4 linked regions of the Cricetulus griseus genome follow. The protein of the gene in region 3 interacts with the protein of the main gene of each other region in a pairwise test. Links are inferred from orthologs where the notes say so. Each region holds a gene or a part of one and is shown on either strand. Other genes may lie near its edges.

The links.
Region 1: the proteins of Usp2 (region 3) and Homer3 interact in binary tests that used the Homo sapiens proteins (3 or more experiments, as listed by UniProt). The two-hybrid records come from large-scale screens. The link is inferred for Cricetulus griseus from reciprocal best matches to the Homo sapiens genes USP2 and HOMER3.
Region 2: the proteins of Usp2 (region 3) and Dtx3 interact in binary tests that used the Homo sapiens proteins (3 or more experiments, as listed by UniProt). The link is inferred for Cricetulus griseus from reciprocal best matches to the Homo sapiens genes USP2 and DTX3.
Region 4: the proteins of Usp2 (region 3) and Ndel1 interact in binary tests that used the Homo sapiens proteins (3 or more experiments, as listed by UniProt). The two-hybrid records come from large-scale screens. The link is inferred for Cricetulus griseus from reciprocal best matches to the Homo sapiens genes USP2 and NDEL1.

The regions. Positions count from the first base shown.
Region 1 is NW_023276806.1:248,680,115-248,684,830, forward strand, and holds part of Homer3 (homer protein homolog 3), read right to left. Parts: intron 4,701-4,716; coding exon 4,569-4,700; intron 1,464-4,568; coding exon 1,356-1,463; intron 792-1,355; coding exon 670-791; intron 1-669. UniProt on the Homo sapiens protein: Postsynaptic density scaffolding protein. Binds and cross-links cytoplasmic regions of GRM1, GRM5, ITPR1, DNM3, RYR1, RYR2, SHANK1 and SHANK3.
Region 2 is NW_023276806.1:130,519,135-130,524,295, reverse strand, and holds the start of Dtx3 (probable E3 ubiquitin-protein ligase DTX3), read right to left. Parts: upstream 3,219-5,161; 5' UTR 3,119-3,218; exon of another isoform or gene 3,098-3,118; intron 2,993-3,097; 5' UTR 2,504-2,992; intron 1,243-2,503; 5' UTR 1,184-1,242; exon of another isoform or gene 1,122-1,183; intron 1,034-1,121; 5' UTR 965-1,033; coding exon 964-964; exon of another isoform or gene 954-963; coding exon of another isoform or gene 953-953; intron 613-952; coding exon 1-612. UniProt on the Homo sapiens protein: Regulator of Notch signaling, a signaling pathway involved in cell-cell communications that regulates a broad spectrum of cell-fate determinations.
Region 3 is NC_048597.1:155,789,766-155,793,589, reverse strand, and holds part of Usp2 (ubiquitin carboxyl-terminal hydrolase 2), read right to left. Parts: intron 3,287-3,824; coding exon 3,175-3,286; intron 3,084-3,174; coding exon 2,973-3,083; intron 2,466-2,972; coding exon 2,401-2,465; intron 2,217-2,400; coding exon 2,113-2,216; intron 2,026-2,112; coding exon 1,945-2,025; intron 1,859-1,944; coding exon 1,780-1,858; intron 1,590-1,779; coding exon 1,482-1,589; intron 1,153-1,481; coding exon 1,032-1,152; intron 457-1,031; coding exon 369-456; 3' UTR 1-368. UniProt on the Homo sapiens protein: Hydrolase that deubiquitinates polyubiquitinated target proteins such as MDM2, MDM4 and CCND1. Isoform 1 and isoform 4 possess both ubiquitin-specific peptidase and isopeptidase activities.
Region 4 is NC_048600.1:82,758,464-82,763,620, forward strand, and holds the start of Ndel1 (nuclear distribution protein nudE-like 1), read right to left. Parts: upstream 3,345-5,157; 5' UTR 3,214-3,344; intron 1-3,213. UniProt on the Homo sapiens protein: Required for organization of the cellular microtubule array and microtubule anchoring at the centrosome. May regulate microtubule organization at least in part by targeting the microtubule severing protein KATNA1 to the centrosome.

The sequences.
Region 1 (4,716 bases), on a different chromosome or scaffold from region 3:
GGGAAGACACCGGGCTGGGGGCGTGCATGGTCAGCGCAGGTGGCATCTGGTGGAGAGCCTCCTGGGCTAGGATTAGGGTCAAAACAACACTAAGCTAGGGAGTGGGGACCATGCATGTGGAGCTGAGACAGGAGGGTACCCTTAAGTTCGATGCCAGTCTAGGCTACATAATGAGTTCCAGGCCAGAGTGGGCTACACAGGGAGACCCTACCTCCAGAAATTTTGGGAACCTATCCCTGCCCCTCCCAGATTGCACGTGAGAGCCATGGAATGGGTGCCAGTGATGCTGGAGGAGCAGCCTCCTCTCCAGATGAGGCAGAAACCAATTGCCTCCTCCTTTCCCAAGTCTGCAGCCCAGGTTCCTACCCCACACCCTGCCAGCTGCTGCTGCTGCAGTCCACACCCACACAAGACTTGCTCCAAAATGACCACGGCCTTCCAAAGCCCCATCCTACACCCCTTAGTCACACCCCTGACCCCAGCAACACCACGTCCTCTGCATCCTAAAGACCCGTCCTGGGGATTCCTTGGCACAATCCCTTATAAGGTGCCAGCCAAGGCCCTGCACCCAGAAACACTACTCCCACCACCCTAAAGCTCAGTCCTAGTCACAATACACCCCTCAGGCTTCTGCTGTGCCCATCAAGCAGCACCTGCCCTACCCCTCACCCTTCTGACAGCATCTTCTTCAACCGCTCCCGCTCGGTAGGTCCAGGGGCATCAGCACTCTGGCTGCGGAACAGCTTCTCCTCTCCCGGACCATTGGTGCTGACCAAGGGGCTTGGGGGAACCTGTGTATGGGAGCCAGGACTGGGTCAAGGTGAGCACTTGCCTTAGTCAAGACGCAGTAGGAGCTAAGGCTAATTGAGTTTAGGACTGGGGTCACTGGGGTATTGATTGAGATCAGGGAGTCTTAACTGACCTGTGAAGCCTAGTGTGTGTCTCCCCTCCTCACCCTCCATAGCTCCCCAGACCCCTGGATAGAGGAACCCCCCCCCCACACACACACACACACACACACGACTTGGTTTTCACTAAACCCTCAAGACCCGAACAACCTACGGAAACAGGACTCTGAACACTTGAAAGTTTTCCCCTGGGCACAGAGACTTCAAACAACCCACATAAAACTGAGGCATGGGCTGGAGAGATGGCTCAGTAGGTCACCAAGCCTGATGCCATGCTGAAAGGAGAGAGCTGACTCCCACAAATTGTCCTCAGATGTGTGCACACACACACATAAGCGCAGTAATGCCATCAGCCAGCCTTAGACACCCTGACATCAGAAGCATATCCAGCTGTCTCGTGAGTGGTAGGCATGGGGCCCAGCAGACATGGAGTACAGGAATACTTACCTGGTGGGACACAAGGGCTAGGGCAGGACTAGTGAATTCTCCACCATCTTGAGATTTCTCCCGAGCCAGCCTGGCAGCTTCCTTCACCTCCTGAAACTTCTCAGCAAACTGGGGAGTGAGACATGGGACAGTCAGAAAGCATCCCCTACCACCTGTCACACCACCCCTATCCCCCACCTGCCCTGTCACCCCGGAGCCTTGAAGGGGAGGCTGGAAAAGGTCAACCCTGTGACCATCTTGGGTGTCAAGGGTGTGTGTGTGGTGTGTGCCAGAGGTGACATTAAGGTTCTGAGCCACGCAGAAAGGGACTCCTTGTTCCTGTCAGGCTGGCTTGGAGTGCCCATCTGCCTGTCACACTTGCCAGTATCTCATGACGCAGGGAAGGGCGTCCCCAGGCAGTGAGAGTGTGGCCTCCTGCATACCTTCTCCTAAAGAGAGGTCTGACATCTAGTGCTGGTTCTGTGGTTGTAATGATGCATTTTCTTTTCATTTTGAAATAGTTTTCACAGGGGCTGGAGAGATGGCTCAGCAGGTAAGAACACTGGCTGCTCTTCCAGAGAACCTGGGTTCATTCCTAGCACCCACATGGTGGCTCCCAACTGTAACTCCAGTTGTACGGGACCCAACACCCTCACACAGACATGAATGCAGACAAAATACCAATGCACATAAAATTAAATTAATTTTCTTTGTTTCTTTTTGTTTTGTTTTTCGAGACATGGTTTCTCTGTGGCTTTGGAGGCTGTCCTGGAACTTGCTCTTGTAGACCAGGCTGGTCTCGAACTCACAGAGATCTGCCTGACCTCCCGAGTGCTGGGGTTAAAGGCGTGAGCCACCAACGCCTGGCATTAATTTTCATCTATCAGAAATAATTTGTGGCCTGGCAGTGGTGGTGCTGGCCTTTAACGCCAGCACTCAGGAGGCAGAGACAGGTGGGTCTCTGTGAGTTTGAGGCCAGCCTGGTCTACAAGAGCTAGTTCCAGGACAGCCTCCAAAGCTACACAGAGAAACCCTGTCTCAAAGAGAAAAGAAAATTAATTAATTTTAAAAAATAATGTGAGGCTAGTGACCTGGTTCAGTAAACTTGATGTCAAGCCTGGTGACCTAAGTCCAGTCCATGGGACCTGCATGGCAGGAGGGGACTGACCCCACAGACAGCCCTTTGACTTCCATAACATACCTGCACCCACACACAACACAGAAATAATAAACAAAGGTAATAAAAACTTTTAAAAGAAAACTTTTTAAAATTTATTTTTATTGCTTTTAATTGTATGTACATACATGTAAGTGCCCTCAGAAACTAGAGGCCTCAAATCCCCCTCTTGGAGTTACAGAAGGTTGTGAGCCCACGTGGGTGCTGAACTAACTCAGTCCTGTGCAAGAGCAGCCAGTGCTTTTTTTTTTTTTAGGGAATTTCTTGTTTAGATTTATTTATTTATTTATTTATTTATTTATTTATTTATTATATGTACAGTGTTCGGCACCAAATCTCATTACAGATGGTTGTGAGCCACCATGTGGTTGCTGGGAATTGAACTCAGGATCTTTGGAAGAGCAGGCAGTGTTCTTAACCCCTGAGCCATCTCTCCAGCCCAACAGCCAATGCTCTTAACCTGAGGCCTCTCTCACCCTGAGATGCACTCCTGCTGCCTAAGGTTAGGAATTCAAGATTAGCCTTAGCTATAATGTAAATTTGAGACCAGCTTTGTCTATAAAGCAAGTTCCAGATCAGCTAGGGCTACATACATATAGTGAGGCGACCCCCCCCCACTACCAATGAAATAGAAAAATAAAGGAAGAAAATCATTCAAAAGTCGGACATTGGTGGCTCACACCTTTAATTTCAGCACTCTGGAGTGTGTGTGTGTGTGGGGGGGGGGCGGACAGGTGAATCTCTTTGAGTTCGAGGCCAGCCTGGTCTACAAAGCTACACAGAGAAACCCTGTCTCAAACTCCCCCCACCTCCCCTGCAACAAAAGATGAAAGACTTAGTCTCAAAAAAGTGATGGGGGTGGGATCTGGATCAAGGGCCCATGGGTTAAGAGCACTGGTTGCTCTTGCAGGGAACCCAGGTTCTGTCCCCAACACCCACACGGTGACTCACAGCCATCTGGAACTCGAGTTCCCAGGGACCCAGCGCCCTACACTGGTCTCTGCAGGCATGGTGTCAGCACATACAATGCACATAGATACATACAAGCAAACCACTTATACACATAAGATACATACAAGCAAACCACGTATACACATAAAATAAAAATATTAAACAAACAGAAAATCAAAAGCTGGGCGTGGTGGCTCATGCTTTTAGTGCCAGCACTGGGAGGCAGACAGATCTCTGAGTTCAAGGGCAGCCTGGCCTACAGAGAGAGTTCCAGAAAAGGTAGGAATACACAGAGAAATCCTATCTCAAAAAAAAAAAAAAAAAATTTAGGGGTTGCAATATGGCTCAATGACCTGGTAGTGTAGATGCACACCTTTAATCCCAGGACTTGTGAGGAAGAAGTAGGCAGATCTCAATGAGTTCAAGGCCAGCCTGGTTCCAGAATGATTTTCAGGACAGCCTTGGCTCTCCTGTGTCAAAATACCCCAAACCAAAACAAACAAAACCAAAACCAATACGTTTCGATGAAAGCAAAGGTGTTCGCTGCCCAGGCCTGATGATGATTCCCAGAACCCACATGGTAGACAAGAAGAGAACTGATCCCTGAGAATGCTCTGCCTTGTGCAGGTGTGCCCACACACATTCACACCCAAAGCAACTAAAAAGTAATACGTTTTTATTGAAAAAATTAAGGAGAGATGGCCCAGCAATTACAAGTGCTCCCCAGCACCTATCTCCGGGCGTTCAGTCCCCAGCACCTATCTCCGGGTCCTCAGTCGGTAGCTTAAGCTCCAGGGACATAGTGCCACCCTCTTACCTCTGCAGACATCAGCACACTCATGTCACATGCATACACAAATATACACAAACACAAACAAAAATAAATCTGAAAACTAGTGGACAGAAGCTGGAGAGAGAGGTGCCCCTGGAGCAGGAGGATGTGCTCAGTCCAGGGTTCCATTTGATGCCCCTAAGAGGCACAAGGAGTGTGCAAAGTTGGAGCAAGGTGGCAAATGACCACTACCCAGGGCACGCAAGGGGTCTCGCTATCTGTGAACCTACCCCAAGGAACACAGATGCCAATCACCGCCCATGTCCCCGCCCACCTGGGTCAGCTGCTGTTCAGAGGCAAAGCCTAGGCCATAGACAGTGTTGGCTCGACTATCTGCCCACTGCCCGAACTTCTGCGAGGTTTTGGTGAAGGTCATGTTGGGGGTGACTGTGCTGTTGATGATGGCCTGGGGGTGGGGAAAA
Region 2 (5,161 bases), on a different chromosome or scaffold from region 3:
ATCGGCCACACATGGGGCAGGCTTTTTTCACCTGCAGGGCCCGTGTGATGCAGCCCTCGCAGAATGAGTGCCGGCACTTCTCCAATGTCTTGGCATTCTGGATCTCCCCCAGGCAGATGGGGCAGGTGCTTTCCTGTTCTTCAGCCTCCTCCCTCAGACGAGGAGGAAGTGGAGGGGGCAGGGGGGGAGGAGGAGGGGGGAGCCCTCTTGCCCCTGGAGGCAGGAGTGGGGCTGCTCGAAGAGGAGGCGGACCTGGGCGGTGCAGCTCAGGGTGCTCCCCACCACCCCCCAGAGCCAGGCAGCCCATGAGCTCCCCCTGCCTCTGAGCTTTCTTCAGCTCCTTCTCAGCCTCTTTCAGTAACCCCTTGAGAGCCTTGCGGGCCAGGTAGAGCCCATTGGGAGGGGCTGGGGGAGGACCCTGTGGGGAGAGCTGGAGCACGTAGATGTCAGAAGTCTCCCCATCTATGAGGATGGACACTCGGTGCTCCTCCCGAAGCCGGGCCAGCCGGGCTGGGGTCTCCTTGCTCAGGAAGTCCCACACAGGCTTGGAGACAGTCACTTTGTTCTTGCAGGTGCCTCCACAGGCTGCCATTCTGGACAGGACGAACGACACTGCCCCCAGGGTGAAAGGGACTCAGCGTGGGGAGTGTCCCCATTTGACACATATAAGTGCTTCCTACTCCAGGTTCCCTCCAAACCTCACATCACCTCCTGTGTTCCTCAAAGCCAACCCCCAATACCTCCTGCAAACTGTTTTTCTATCACCCCTTCTCTCCCATAGTCCCAGCACTTGCTGGGGAACAAGAGTTTCTATATTTTATCATTATCTAAACCAAGCACCAACCTTACTTGTTTCTTTCATTTCTCCCCTGACCACCAGCAACCTGCCCCTTCCCCTCATAGAAAAGAAAAATAGGCTTTTCAAATGAGAAGGGAGACTTCCCTCCCCTACTTTTTGCTCACTTTGATCCGGAAGAGCTTAGGATTGGCATGCAGGCTCACTCCTTTTCCCTGCTACTTGGAGACCGTTGGCCTAGTGGGATGAGAAAGAAAAGGAAGTAAGAATAGGTTCTCCAATCCCCACAGGCCCCAACTCAGTAGCCTTTGAAACAGACAGGAACCTGGAGTAGTGTCCTGGGCATGGGAAGAACATGAACTGAGCGTCCCCTGGGGGTGCAGGTACCTGAAAAGACCATGGGAGATGGTGCAAGTCTCTCTACTTCCACATTGAGCTGACCAGAGCTGGGGATGAAGAAGGTAGAGAGTTATGATAGCACTTCCTCAGTCAGCCCAGAAACAAAACACTTATATCGCCTCTCCTCCCCTGCAGAATTCCAGGCACAGCCTCTCAAATTGCTCAGGAACTTCACCAGACCAGCTCCCCACCACCACCAACCCCAGTGCAGAGGAAGAGAGATCCTAGGTTCAGACAAAGGCCCTGGGGATGAAGCCTGCACTTGCCATCTCCCTCAGATTGACTACACTGACAGAAATATTTCCTATGTTCCTCAACTCATTTCTTTACTCCACATTCTCAAATAAGTCAAGTCCCTGTTGTTGACGGGGGACCTTTCCCTGAGAGCGAAGTCTGTTAGGGATGCCAGCAAAGTGATAGCAGTCCCTGCAATAACAAAGTTCTCATTGTCACCTTTAAACCCATTGCCTGCAGAGCTGTTGTCAGCTCTTGGATCTGCATTTAGGAGGGGCAGGGCTCAAGCAGGAGCTCAGCTAGAGGGCCCCCACGTTTTCCCCCCTGAGTCCTGTCACATTCAGCTCCGGGGCTGTTCCCGGAGTGCGGCTCAATTAGGAAGAGGGGGCCATTAACAGTGACCTCAATTCCTTGACTCATCCAAAGAAGAAGCCGCTGTCCCTCAGTGCCTTCATCCTAGGGCCCTTAAGATGAAACTCTAGAGTCCCAGCCCACATGGCCCGTGCACCGTAGCATGCCCCCACCCCGGCACAGAGGACCCAGGATCTCGGTGTCCTAGCTCCAAGCCCTGCTGGCACAGCACAAGGAGGCGGGGCCACAGTTTAGTCTGGTCTAGCATTCCTCTGAGGCAAACCAGGCCGGACAGGAGCCCAGTGACTCCCTCCGGGCAGCGGCCCCAGGCAGGGACACCGAGAAAGGGCGAGGGTCCCCTGGGGGGTGTCCACCGAGGCACCCCCACCCTTCTCCTCCCCCAGACCTGGCCCCCAGATCCATCCAACCCGAAGCCAACTCCCGCATCCCTACTCGAGGAAGCCCCGGAGTCCCGCCGCTGGGTGAGGGCGTGTGTCCGCCCGACTGCGGCCCTCAGAACCCCCAAATGGAGGCCGAGGGCTGGAGGTGCCGGCAGGATGATGCTGGGCCCGGCCCCGATGGTGCCGGCTCGCAGCGCCGCCGGGAGAGCGAGCGCCGGAGGTCAAAGGCGGAGGAGGGGACGGAGGGGCTCGGGGGGCTCGCGAGGGTGCCGATCGGGCCTGGGGGGCACGCGGTGGGTGTGGGGGCGCCGGGCTCACCTACCTCTCGTCAGCGCCGCCATTGCCGGTCACATGACTGAGGCTGTTGCTGGGATGACGGTCCGGGCCTTAGCAACAAGGGGCGGGGGAAGACCCCGGGAAGGTGGCAGGGGAAGCCGGGGCGCCGATGAAGAGGAAGGAGGGAGGACAGCACCCCTCTCCCCTGGGCGGGTGATGATCACCGTTTCCCTTGGTCCCCTCCTCCTGCTACCCGGGAGCCCCTGCCTCTCTGCCCCAAAACAAAAATGGAGGCGCAGATCCAGGCTTTGGAGGGAGGGGTGGCGTCATGTAACCGAGGGTAGGAGGTGAAATCCCTTAGAAACGCCGCTCTTTTGGCTTCCCTCCTCCCGGAGGAGCCCTCTCCCCTTCTTCTTCCCCAGCCAGCTGCGTGGCACCTTTGGGAGCCGGTAGTGGATGGGTGCGTGAGCAGTGCGGTGGGTGTATGGATTTGGAGGGGAAGGCAGTCTTTTTTTAAAATCTTAGGCTGTAAGAGCTTTAAAAGAAAAAAAAAATGTTGTATGGGAAGAGTTCTGGAAAAAAAAAAAAAGGAAAACACTGGTACTACACAATAAACCCTGTGACTAAACTACTTCCATCCCCTCCCTCCTGCTAGTGTTACCTCCGGTGACCCCCCACAGCCTGTTGCCAGATGGGGACGGGTGACTAGCTTTCCACAAACAGGGACACAGGTTGGTGCAGAATGCGAAGTGAACAGAAAAAAAAAAAAAAAAAAAAAGGCTTGGGGTGGTGTTGCTGTCAAGTACGTGGCTCAAAAGAGTTAAAAATTCCCAAAGAAAAAAAAGCTCTGCCCTGCTTCTCACCAGAACAGTCTCCGCCTCCTGCAACTCTCTTCCCCGAGGCCACATCAAGCCAGGTTTTTCCACCAGCCAAGACCTCAGCCAAGACCTCCTGAGTCTCCCAGAGCAGCCACAACCGCGTCATCCATCCCTTCCCATCCCCTCCCCCACGAACCGGAGGACTGGTCACTCCTTCGCTTTCCCAGGACCTTGTTGTACTCCTCCTGCCCTCTAAGTAGATAGCTTTCCCAGGAAGCCTGGGTGAACAGAGAATTCCTCCCCAAATAGCTGTTAGGCTGAGAGGCCCACTCAAGTTAGGAGATGTAGCCAGAGCACTGGGGAAAGAGGGGCAGCACCATCCTACCCTTCCCTGGCCACCATCACTGCTGAATTCCCACAAAGTTGAGGAATGTTTTCCACTCCCATGACCCCACCCCACAACTATAAGTCCACAGCCATCTTGGAAACTTCCCACATATTCAGGAGCCCAACAACACCTTGAAGACCAATATTCTTCATTTGGTCTCTGCATCCTGTAAACACAGGGATCCCTCAACATTTTCAGAGGGAAAAAAGTTTCTGTGAATGATTTGGACCGAATAATTTATTTTATTGTGATATTGGGAGTAAATACAGGTAAATAGAGATTTTTATTAATAAAAAATGATGGAAAACAGAAGCAATAAATGAAGATGACCGTTCTGCCCATAATACACAACCTCTTGGTTGGAGAATCCAGTTCTAAGGAACTGCTGCTGGTGCCATGGGGCTTTATTGCATCAACAGGGAAAAGGGTGACTATGGGATGGATGGAAGAGGCCCAGCAGGCAGGCCCCTCCCACCCCAGCTGGGCCTGCCTTTTGCTGCTTCCTTTGGTGTAAAGGTGAGAAGGGGGCTTCTCCCTGAGGACCTCATAGCTTTGTGCCCTTACTGCCCACCCCCCACTCCCAGGGTGTGGAGGTCTAAAGGGGAACAGAACAGCAACAATGCCCGTCTTGGTTCCAAAGGCTCTGGGCAGAGACAAGACTGTCTATCTCATGGCAGAATCTTGTTTTCCCAGATAGTCTCACGTATCCTTGGCTGGCCTCAAACTCGCTATGGAACTGAGGGTGACCTTGAATACCTGATGCCCCTTGCCTTCTTTTCCCAAGTGCTGAGATTATAGGTGTGCACCACCACATCTGGTTTGCATGGTGCTGAGATGGAACCCAGAGCTTTGTACACGCTAGGCAAGCACTCTATCCACTGAGTTATCTCCAATGCTCAAACCCATACCTTCTTTGAGTTTTCCTGAGACCATGTCTTACTCTGTAGCCCAGGCTGTTCAAGCTGGCCTTGAACTCTCACTGACTCTGCTGCAGCCTCCTTGAGGGCTGGGTTTTAGAGGCATTAGCTGCCCTGAAAGTTCCTCTACATTCTGAGAGTATCTATCACGCATTAACTCAGCTATCTTTGGAAGGGATCCGGTGAGTGAGTTATGGCTCTGACTCCTCTCTGGGGGTGGGAAGTGAAGATGACAGAGAAGGCCATCTGTCCCTGGGAGACACATTAGCAGTGAAAGATGGGACAGAAGGAACAGAATAACAAACCCAACTAGAAAAAGTGTTTGAGAAGAGGGGAGGCCCTGTGCTGCGTACCTACGTCCAGGGAATGGGGATGTTCCCACACTCAAGGTCTCTATCCTCTTGAAATTATGGAAACTGAGCCACATGGAGCTCTTCCCTTGGCTAGAAAGGGACCATGGGCTTTACTGGATAGGAAGAAAGGAAACTTCACACAGGGTATGAACCTTGCACTCCGACCTGTCCTCCCAGGCTCCACTGCTCTCCCTTCCCCCCACCCCCTCGCTAAAGGGTTCCATCCCC
Region 3 (3,824 bases):
GGGCAGGAGAGGGCAGCAGGTGGACTGAGATCTATCTTCTCCCCACCGACCGCTGTTGTTTATTACACACATGAAAAACCACAAGCTTAAAAATGCAAGAGAAGCCGAGGAGCTGAGGAACACTGCTGACTCCGTATCTGCATCAGTCCGTCTCCCCTGACGGGCCGTGGCTCAGAGGCACCGGGCTCCTTGCTGCAGACCCCGACCAGGCCCGTATCAACTTCTGCTCGGCAGCTTTATTTTACTTTATTTTTCTCTTACTTGTCAGGATTTTGTTGTTGTTTTTGTGGTTTTTTTTTTTGAATTTTTAAAAAACTTAGGACGTGGGGCTGCCACAGGGAAGAGGGAAGGGCTGTAGCTCCTCAATGCTACATACGGGAGGGTGGACTGGCCAGTTCATAGAAGAGCAAATAGGCGTCGCTGGTGCGCACTTGGCTGGAGGACATGGGTGTGACACTGGAAAGATCAGGGAAAAGTCAGAGCCTGTCAAGGAAGGTCACTGGAGACACAGAGCTGAGTGGCTGAGGTTGGATATGTCTCAAACTTCTCTATGCCAATCTAAGCTCTGACTCGTCCTTTTTTTTTTTTTTTTGTCAAGATTTTTATTATTTTTAAATATGTGTATGTGGTATGTGTGTGGATACTTGCACTGAGTGTAGGTGCCCATGATGGCTAAGGGCAATAAACTCTTGTCCTCAGCAATAGTGGTAAGAGCTCTTAACCACTGTGCTATTTCTTCAGCTCCACCCCCAACCCTTTTTCCCTTTTTGGAGACAAGGTCTCACAGCCCAGACTGACTTCAAACTTGCTAAGTAGCTGAGGATGACCTTGAACTCCTGATCATCTTGCTTTCACCTCTCAGATGTTTGGTTACAGTTGTAAGCCACGGTGGCCACTTGGGACAAACCCAGAAAGGGCAGCATAGTCTTGTGTGTGTGATGTAGCTTTTGGCCTCGATTTTGTCCATTCAAGACGGAAGCCATATGAGGTTGCCTGCTGTCTAGGAGCCCTGTCTGAAGCCCATCTCTCACCTGGAGTCATTGAAAGTGTGCCATTCGCCCGTTACTGGACTTCGGCAGTAGGCTGTATAATGGCCTCCCATGGTGGTTCCGGAGTGATTGGACACAGCATACAGGTTGTAAACAGCATGGTCTGAGGAGGAACCACAGACAGGTGTCAAGCCCTGGAGGCATTCCTGCCCTTCCTCCATTTTATTTCCTATCTTTTCCCTTACAGAAAACAGCTTCTACTTAAAAAAGGTTGAAATTTAATTTTAGTTTGTGTGTGTGTGTGTGTGTGTAGGTCAGAAGGAAATCTTGAAGGAGTCAATATTCACTTCTCTCCTCCTGTGTGGTTTTGGGGTTCAATCTCAGATCTGTATCTCACCGGATCCTTACTTCCCAGTCTTTTCCTAATTTGCTAGCTTCCTCCCGCCTCTGCCTCTCAGCTTCAGGAAGCCTGTCCTCCTGAAGTAGACTCACTGGTGTTTTCTGAAGCAAATTCTCTCAAGTCCAGGTCTCTTAGTGGAAAATTCACAAATGTTGTGAGCTTGCTGGTTCGTATCCTGGATTCCGAGAACCGCTTCAGGTCTGTGATTGTCTCCAGTCAAGGACAAAAAGCCGGAAGAGAGTCCTTGGAGAAGCAGCTCTTCTCAGGAAGCAGGAAGACAAACACAGAAGCCTACACTGTTTTCACCCTACTCTGCTCCCCTCCCCTTTTGGTCCCTTGTCATTAGTCACCCCCAAAAGTCAGGTCCCAACCCTGGGGGGTTAAGGATACGGAGCACCAAGATCTTTGGGAACCTCTGCACAGAGAATTTCTTTATACATCGTTTCCTGGCTCGGCAGCGGTAGCATGTCTGAAAGACAGACAACAGGGGCTAGACCCAGGTGGCCCTTCCCCGTCCAGGCACTGTGGCTGGCTTCTGTCACTGAGGATACTTACTGGTTTTTCATCCCCATCCAGCACATCCTCTTTGGTGAAGAGCCTCATACAATCCATTAATGTCACCTCAGGATAACCTCTCTGGAGAGAAAAAAAAGTCCAGGTCAGCTGTCCATAACCTTGCAAAGCCCAAGAGGGAAGCTGACACGGGGCCACATCAGGGCATACCTTTGCAATGGGCAACGAGAGATCCCAGAAGGGATCGAAGACTGTAGAGCAGTAGCCACAGTCGGTGCAGGTCAGGGAGCTCTTCAGCTGGCCAACAAAGAGATCTGGGGAAGAGAAAGCCAGGGTGAGCTGCACATACGGAGTGCTTGCCTTCCTTTTCTCCCCACTCTTGCCTTGGTTTTGAGAGTCACAGGCAGAAGCAGGGTTCCCTGGGAAAATGATCTTCAGGGCTTCTCAAGCAAAAGTAGGGGACAGCAGACACAGGTATTTTCTTGTCTGTGTACTTACCCCCAATTCGACTGTCTTCCCTCTCCAGATACTTCCTCCACATCTGTCGCCCTTTTTCATCATCACTGGGAACCGCAGACAGGAAGACAGCTGCATTAGAGCTCAAACCCTGATATGCTTAGGTGCTAGCAACTAGAATATATTTATATGCAATATGGTTTTTGTGGTGCTGGGCATGGAACCCCAGGCCTTGATCATGATCCTCACACAGTCCACTGAGTTGTACCCCACAAGCCATCGTTTTCTTCAGACAGGGTTAGCCCAGGCTGGCCTCCTACCTCAGCCTTTTGAAATCTAGGATTACAGGTATATACCACCAAGCCTGGCTTCAAAATCTTCAATCCTGAGGATGTCACTTAGTGGCAGAGTGCTCTCCCATCATGTACAAGGCCCTTATGTACAATCCCCAGTAACACACACATTACTGTCACCAAAATAAAAAAGCTCGTGTTTAAAAACAACAAAGCAAATCTGATTCTCCCCTCTTTGAGAGATCACCACTCTCAAAGAAGTGGTATGCATCTCAAGTTCACAAAGGCTTCACTTCACAGCAGCATTGTCCTCTTACTTACGGGAGGTGATCAAGATTCTCAGGGCTGGGCTTGGGCCTCACAGTCACCCGGTTCACCTCATTGTGGAGCCCATCCAGGAGGAAGCGAAGGAACTCCTGAGCATCCTGCTGACTGAACCCAAAGAAAGTGAGTGAGCAGCATCTACCAACACCCTGCTTGTGCCACCCCCTCTTGGGGGAGGACATGCATTCGAGGCCCTTACTTATAGCCAACAAAGCGTGGTGCATATCTCTGAATCTGGGTCTTGAACTCAGATGGGCTCACCACATCATTGGGGGATGATGTCCATATGGTCTGGATTAGTTTTGCAAATTCTGTTGAAAGGAACAACCAGAGAGAGGGTGGAGGAAAGGTGAGATATTTGCTTTTGTAAAAAGCAATTTTATTTTAGTGTGTGTGTGTGTGTGTGTATGTGTGTGTGTGTGTGTGTGTGTGTGTGTGTATGTATGTATGTATGTATGCTTGTGAGTGCCCAAGGAGGCCAGAAGAGGGTGCTGGACCCCTGGAACTAAACTTACAGGTTGTTGTAAGTTGCCAGACATGGGTTCTGGGAATCAAATATGGTCCTCTGTAAGACCAGATGGCTCGCTCAACTACTGAGCCATCTTTCCAGTCCCAGGATTGTGTACACACACACACACACACACACACACACACACACACACACACACACACTGTACACACACACACACACACACACACACACACACACCACACACACACACACACATACACACAAAACCTTGAGCTAGGTATGGTAGTGCACACTCATGAACCCAAGTTAAGGTAGAAGGATCAGGAGTTCAAGGCCACCTTGGGCTACATGAGACTGTCTCAAAAAAAAAAAAAAAA
Region 4 (5,157 bases), on a different chromosome or scaffold from region 3:
TAAATACAGCTAGTACCAGCTTAGTGGTATACTACTTGCCTAGCATGAGCAAGACTCTGGGTTTTTGCTGGACCTAGTATCGAACACCTTTGATCTCAGTACTCAAGAGACAGAAGAAAAACTTCTATGCGTTCAAGGCCAGCCTGCTCTATTTAAAAAGTTCCAGAACATCCAGAGCTACCTAGAGAGAGCCTTCTCAAAAACAAAACAAAATACACCCCCCAAAAAAAAAAGCCAAAAGGATATGTCCACACATGATGCTGCAAGCCTGAAAGTGTGTGAAGGAGTGAAAGCCAGCAACAGTCAGGAAGCTGAAAGCTAGATGCCAACCAGAGCAAGTTGTGCCATGCCTCTGAACTCCAGAAAGGCTCCTGAGTTAGGGTTTCTAGCTGCTTCAGAACGCAAGAGGAATGGGAAAACAGGAAGATGTATTGGAGGTAGTGCATTTACAGGGCATTTAGAGCAGTGGTTCTCCACCTTCCTAATGCCCAGATCCTTTAATACAGTTCCTCATGCTGTGATGACCCCAAACCATAAAACTATTTCCCTTACTACTTCATGACTCTAATTTTGCTGTGATTAATCATAATATAAATGTTTGTATGTTCTGATGGCCTTAGGCGACCCCTGCAAAAGGGTCATGACCCACAGGTTGAGAACCACCAATTTAGATACAGACTTCACAGTCTAGGTAGCAGGCAAACCAAAGCATTTGCCTCACCCCTGCCCAACAGCAGAAGGTGAGAAGACCCAGAAGAAGTTAGATTACTTCACCACAAAAAAGGAGGTTCAGGGAGAAAGGACACCTCCAAGGCCATGATGTCTCAGCCCCTGCCTTGGGTGACCCCGCAAAATGCTGGCAACCTCTCTTACACCCTCCATGCAGGTGGCCAGAGAATCTTTTTTTTTTTTTTTTTTTTTTTTTTTTTTTTAAGAAGAAAGGATTTACTTGGGCCTCACAGTTGGAGGGTACAGTCCATGCTGGCGAGGAAGGGATGGCGGCAGCAGCATGAGGCAGCTGAAGGGAATTCTTCAGTGGGTCTCCTGACCACACAGCCTCATCCAGATATGAGCACACTACACACAGGCCAGGCCCAATAGCTGGAAAGTACACACACACACACACACACACACACACACACACGATTACTAAATAAAGAAAAACCTGAGGCAACTATCAATTCCAGGAGCAAAAAGTAAAACAAAAAAGGAACATTATCACCATTATCTGTGTTGTAACTAAAAAAAAAAAAAAAAAAAAAGGCAGCCCAAGAGAGAAAGATGAGATGCCACAGAGTTCAATGGAGGGAAAGGGACCATTAAAGGGAAAGGGGTGGGGAAACCAGCCTCTGGGGAGCAAGCAAAGAGAAGCAGAAAGGGAGAGAGAGAAAGAGAGGAGGATGGGAGATAGACAGGGTCCTTTTTAAGGGAACATAGTGAATATGCACAGGTGGTGCTCTTAGTAGCTGCAGCTGAGGGTGTGTCTGGTCAGGACCCCAAGGGCAGGCCAGTACGGATTCCTGAATACTAACAATCACCATCCTCACAGTTGAGAGTACAGCAGCAACGTAAACAAATTATCTTATTGGGAGGATGGAAACAATAATATGGGTAGCTGATAAATGACTTCTGTACCCTTGCCTTTTATTAACAGAAAACTAAAAAATAGCCACATAGGCCAGATGTGGTAGCACATGCCTTTAATCCCAGCACAGAGACAGAGGAATATCCGTGAGTTTGAGATCAGCCTGGTCTACATAGCAAGTTCCAGACCATCCAGGACTATGCAGTGAAGCTGTGTCTAAGAAAGGAAGGAGGGAAGGAAGGAAGGAAGGAAGGAAAGAAGGAAGGAAGGAAGGAAGGAAGGAAGGAAGGAAGGAAGGAGCAGAAAAGGAAAGGAGAGAAGGAGGGAAGTTACAGGACAGTAAATAGAATTCAACATTAAAAATTGTACTGAAAGTATGTCAATTGGGTGTGATGGCTCATGCCTATACTCCTAGCTCTGGTGTGTGTAGCCAGGAAAACAGGAGTTCAAGGTCATCCTCAGCTATACAGTGAGTTCCAGCTGGCCTATGCTACATAAAAATCTGTCTCTGAAACAAAATGTGTATGTTGAAGCCAGGTGAGAGTGCTGAAAGTGGGTGCGGCGGTGCACACCTAGAAACCTTGCACTCAGAAGTCAGAGGCGGGAAAATCGAGACAGATTCAAGGCCAACCTGTTCTGCATAGAAAATTCTAGATCAAACAAGACTTTATAGACTTGAGACCCTGAATCAAATGGGGGCTGGGGACCTGGAGATGGCTAAATGGTTAAGAGCACTTGCTGATCTTGCAGAGAACTGGCTTTGGTTCCCAGAATCCACATGGAGGATCGATCACACTGTCTTTTAACTCCAGTTACAGGGTGTCTGGCTTCTAAGGGCACCCACAGTTGTGTGCACATACCCACGCACAGACATACACATAAAAATAGATAAATTTTAAGTTTATATGTCAAAGTGCTCATATTTAGGTGTTTACTTATGCAAAGATTTTCAGTGTACTGAACTGTACTGTTTTGATATTTACCAAGTAAAACATTATCATGAAAAAGTATGTCTAGTTTTCTTTAGAAAATGAAATAAAGATAGCCCCAAGCCTTGAAAAATACAACCTTACAATCTAGGAAACATTTTCACAACCATTTTTCTATAAGCTCTACACAAATCTAAACAAAATAAAGATACTTTGCCATCTGTAGACAAGAAAACAGATTGAAAGAAGCAACTATCCCATAAGCAGTTAAGCAGTTTAGAAGTACACAATATCTCAACACAAGCCCCTCACTTGTTCAGTCCAGCATGACACCAGAGCCTCACCCTGATTGTGTCTTCATCAGCTCCAGGTAAACCTGTCTGAACCCAAAGAGCTGCCCAGCCCCTGAAGAAATGCTAGCAGGCAGCCCAGGAAACAGAAACCAAATCAAGGTAATCAGAATCCAGAAGATGGAAGATACTGTGCTTTCAGAAAAATTCACTGTAGCAAACTCCCAGTGTCACCTGCCACTAGGGACATAATGACTTTACAAACTAACTTCAGCCTTTGACCACCATATGGGCAGAAAGAATCCTCAGACTCCAGAAGCCTCCACTCTGCTCTCTCTCGGGGTAGGCCCAGGCTCCCACCCATTCGCTTCCCCTCACCCCAACTCCCCAAAGTCACATCACAAGGCACCTGGTCGCAGGTCCTCAGCTGATCTGGTTCACAGCAGCACGTGGGGGCCACCCGGGGACCAGCTGGAACAAAACAGAAGTCAACAGGAAGAATGAGACTCAATCATGCCTAACAAGAGAGACTCTGGGACAGGAAGTGGGTTTGAGCCAGGAAGGCTGGGGCCTGCTGTCAAGAAGTGAGGTAACCCTGCCAGCCTTGTTACTCAGCTAGAGTTGAGCAAGACCTCAGAGCTTGGGAAAGGGAGTAAAATGCCAGTCATAGCTTCGCAGTCAGAGCTTCAGGGCTCCCCAGCTCTACTGCATGTGTGCGAGCAGCTGGTTGTCTTCTCCCCCACTTTCTTGTCTCTGTCCCTGAATTTGGGAGGGGAGAGTCAACTGAAGGAACGGCTGTCAGTGCTTTTATCTCTATGCCAGTGCAATGCTGAGCCCGGTGAAGCACATAGTATACTATGTGAGAGCTCAAATTAGGTAGGGCTGGGTGTGGCTCAATGGTAGACCACTTGCCTAACCTGTGTAGGGCCCTGGGTTCTGTGCTCACTACTGAAAATCAAAGCAAACCACAGAGAGAGGAGAGGAGAGGAGACAATCTTTAAAGTCAGGTAGCTTAGACTTTGCATTGCTAAGTCTCATGTTCCTCCCTCCCTCCCATGAATTGCAGGTAATACCAGTACCGACGCCTGGTGTTGTGACTTAAATGGGATAATGTGTATAACTGGCACCATATAAGTCCCAAGATCCAGTGAGTCCCTTGGGCTGTCAGTATTGTCCCTTCTCTGCCTTTCCAAGGCTGGTCCATTCTCTAAGCTTTTATCGGATCACGTGGGCCCATCCACGTCACTTGACTCCACAGTGACTCCGTGCCAATTAGTCTTACGAAATAGAACAGGAACCACTGATAAGAGTGGGCTCTGATAACATAGTCAAGTTACTGGCTGGTTATGTTTAGCCTATAAATGTCCATCTAATGAAAAACAAACAATGCCCTATCAGCAGTTAAGGACACAAAACAAGCCGCTTCACTGAAAAGTCCTTTCCCATGAGGGTGTCTTACTTCCCAAAGTTACCCAAGGAAAGCAGGAGCTGTGCATATTCGCCTCTCTGTGCCTAGGAGGAGCCAGCAAGTACCGGAAGTCAGTCTATACAAATCCGTGGATCGTGTCCATCCGATGGAAACATTGCCCCTGTTTAAAGCTGTTTTTGGTCAACCCAGCCCAGGCCTACTGCATGAGAACCGGCCCCAATATAACATGGTTCCACAGACAGGTAGTCAGACTCTAGAATTACACAGAGAGCAATTTATTGTAGGACTTGCTAAGGGAAGTGTAGTCTTGAGTGGCAGTAAAACAGATGATAGCCCACAACCTGGGTCAGAGAGAGGAGTGCACTTATGGGTTGGGACAAAAGTGACTTCACCATGGCTGGACTGTACCCAGTTTATCTTAATATCAAAGAGTCGGATGCATTCCTGGGGTCAGGGTCTGGTTGTACAAAGCCCCATATTTGACTCTAATTATTTTTATCTATTTGTGGTTTGTTGGGAGACTATACAGGAAAAACCAGCTGGGATTACTCAGGGGCAATCGTGGTGGCTATGACTCAAGATGGCTGTGGTCACGTCAAACCAGACCCATACAAAAGCACATAGACAAGATACCTGAGCTGAGGAATCCATCCTAGTGGGGCTAGGGTTTTGTAGGTTAGGGCAAAGCTTTACATGAAGGCAAGGCCAAAGCCACTCTGGTATACCTTAAAAGCTGTTCTCACGATCCTCCAAAAGCTCTGAAAGGAGTGAAAAAGGTGTGTCCTATCCGGGTTTTTGTGGTGGCACACACCTTTAATTCCAGAACTTGGGAGACAGAGGCAGGTGGATCTGAGGATCTGATTTTGAGGCCAGTCTGGTCTACAGAGCAAGTTCCATGACAGCCAGAGCTACACAGAGAATCTG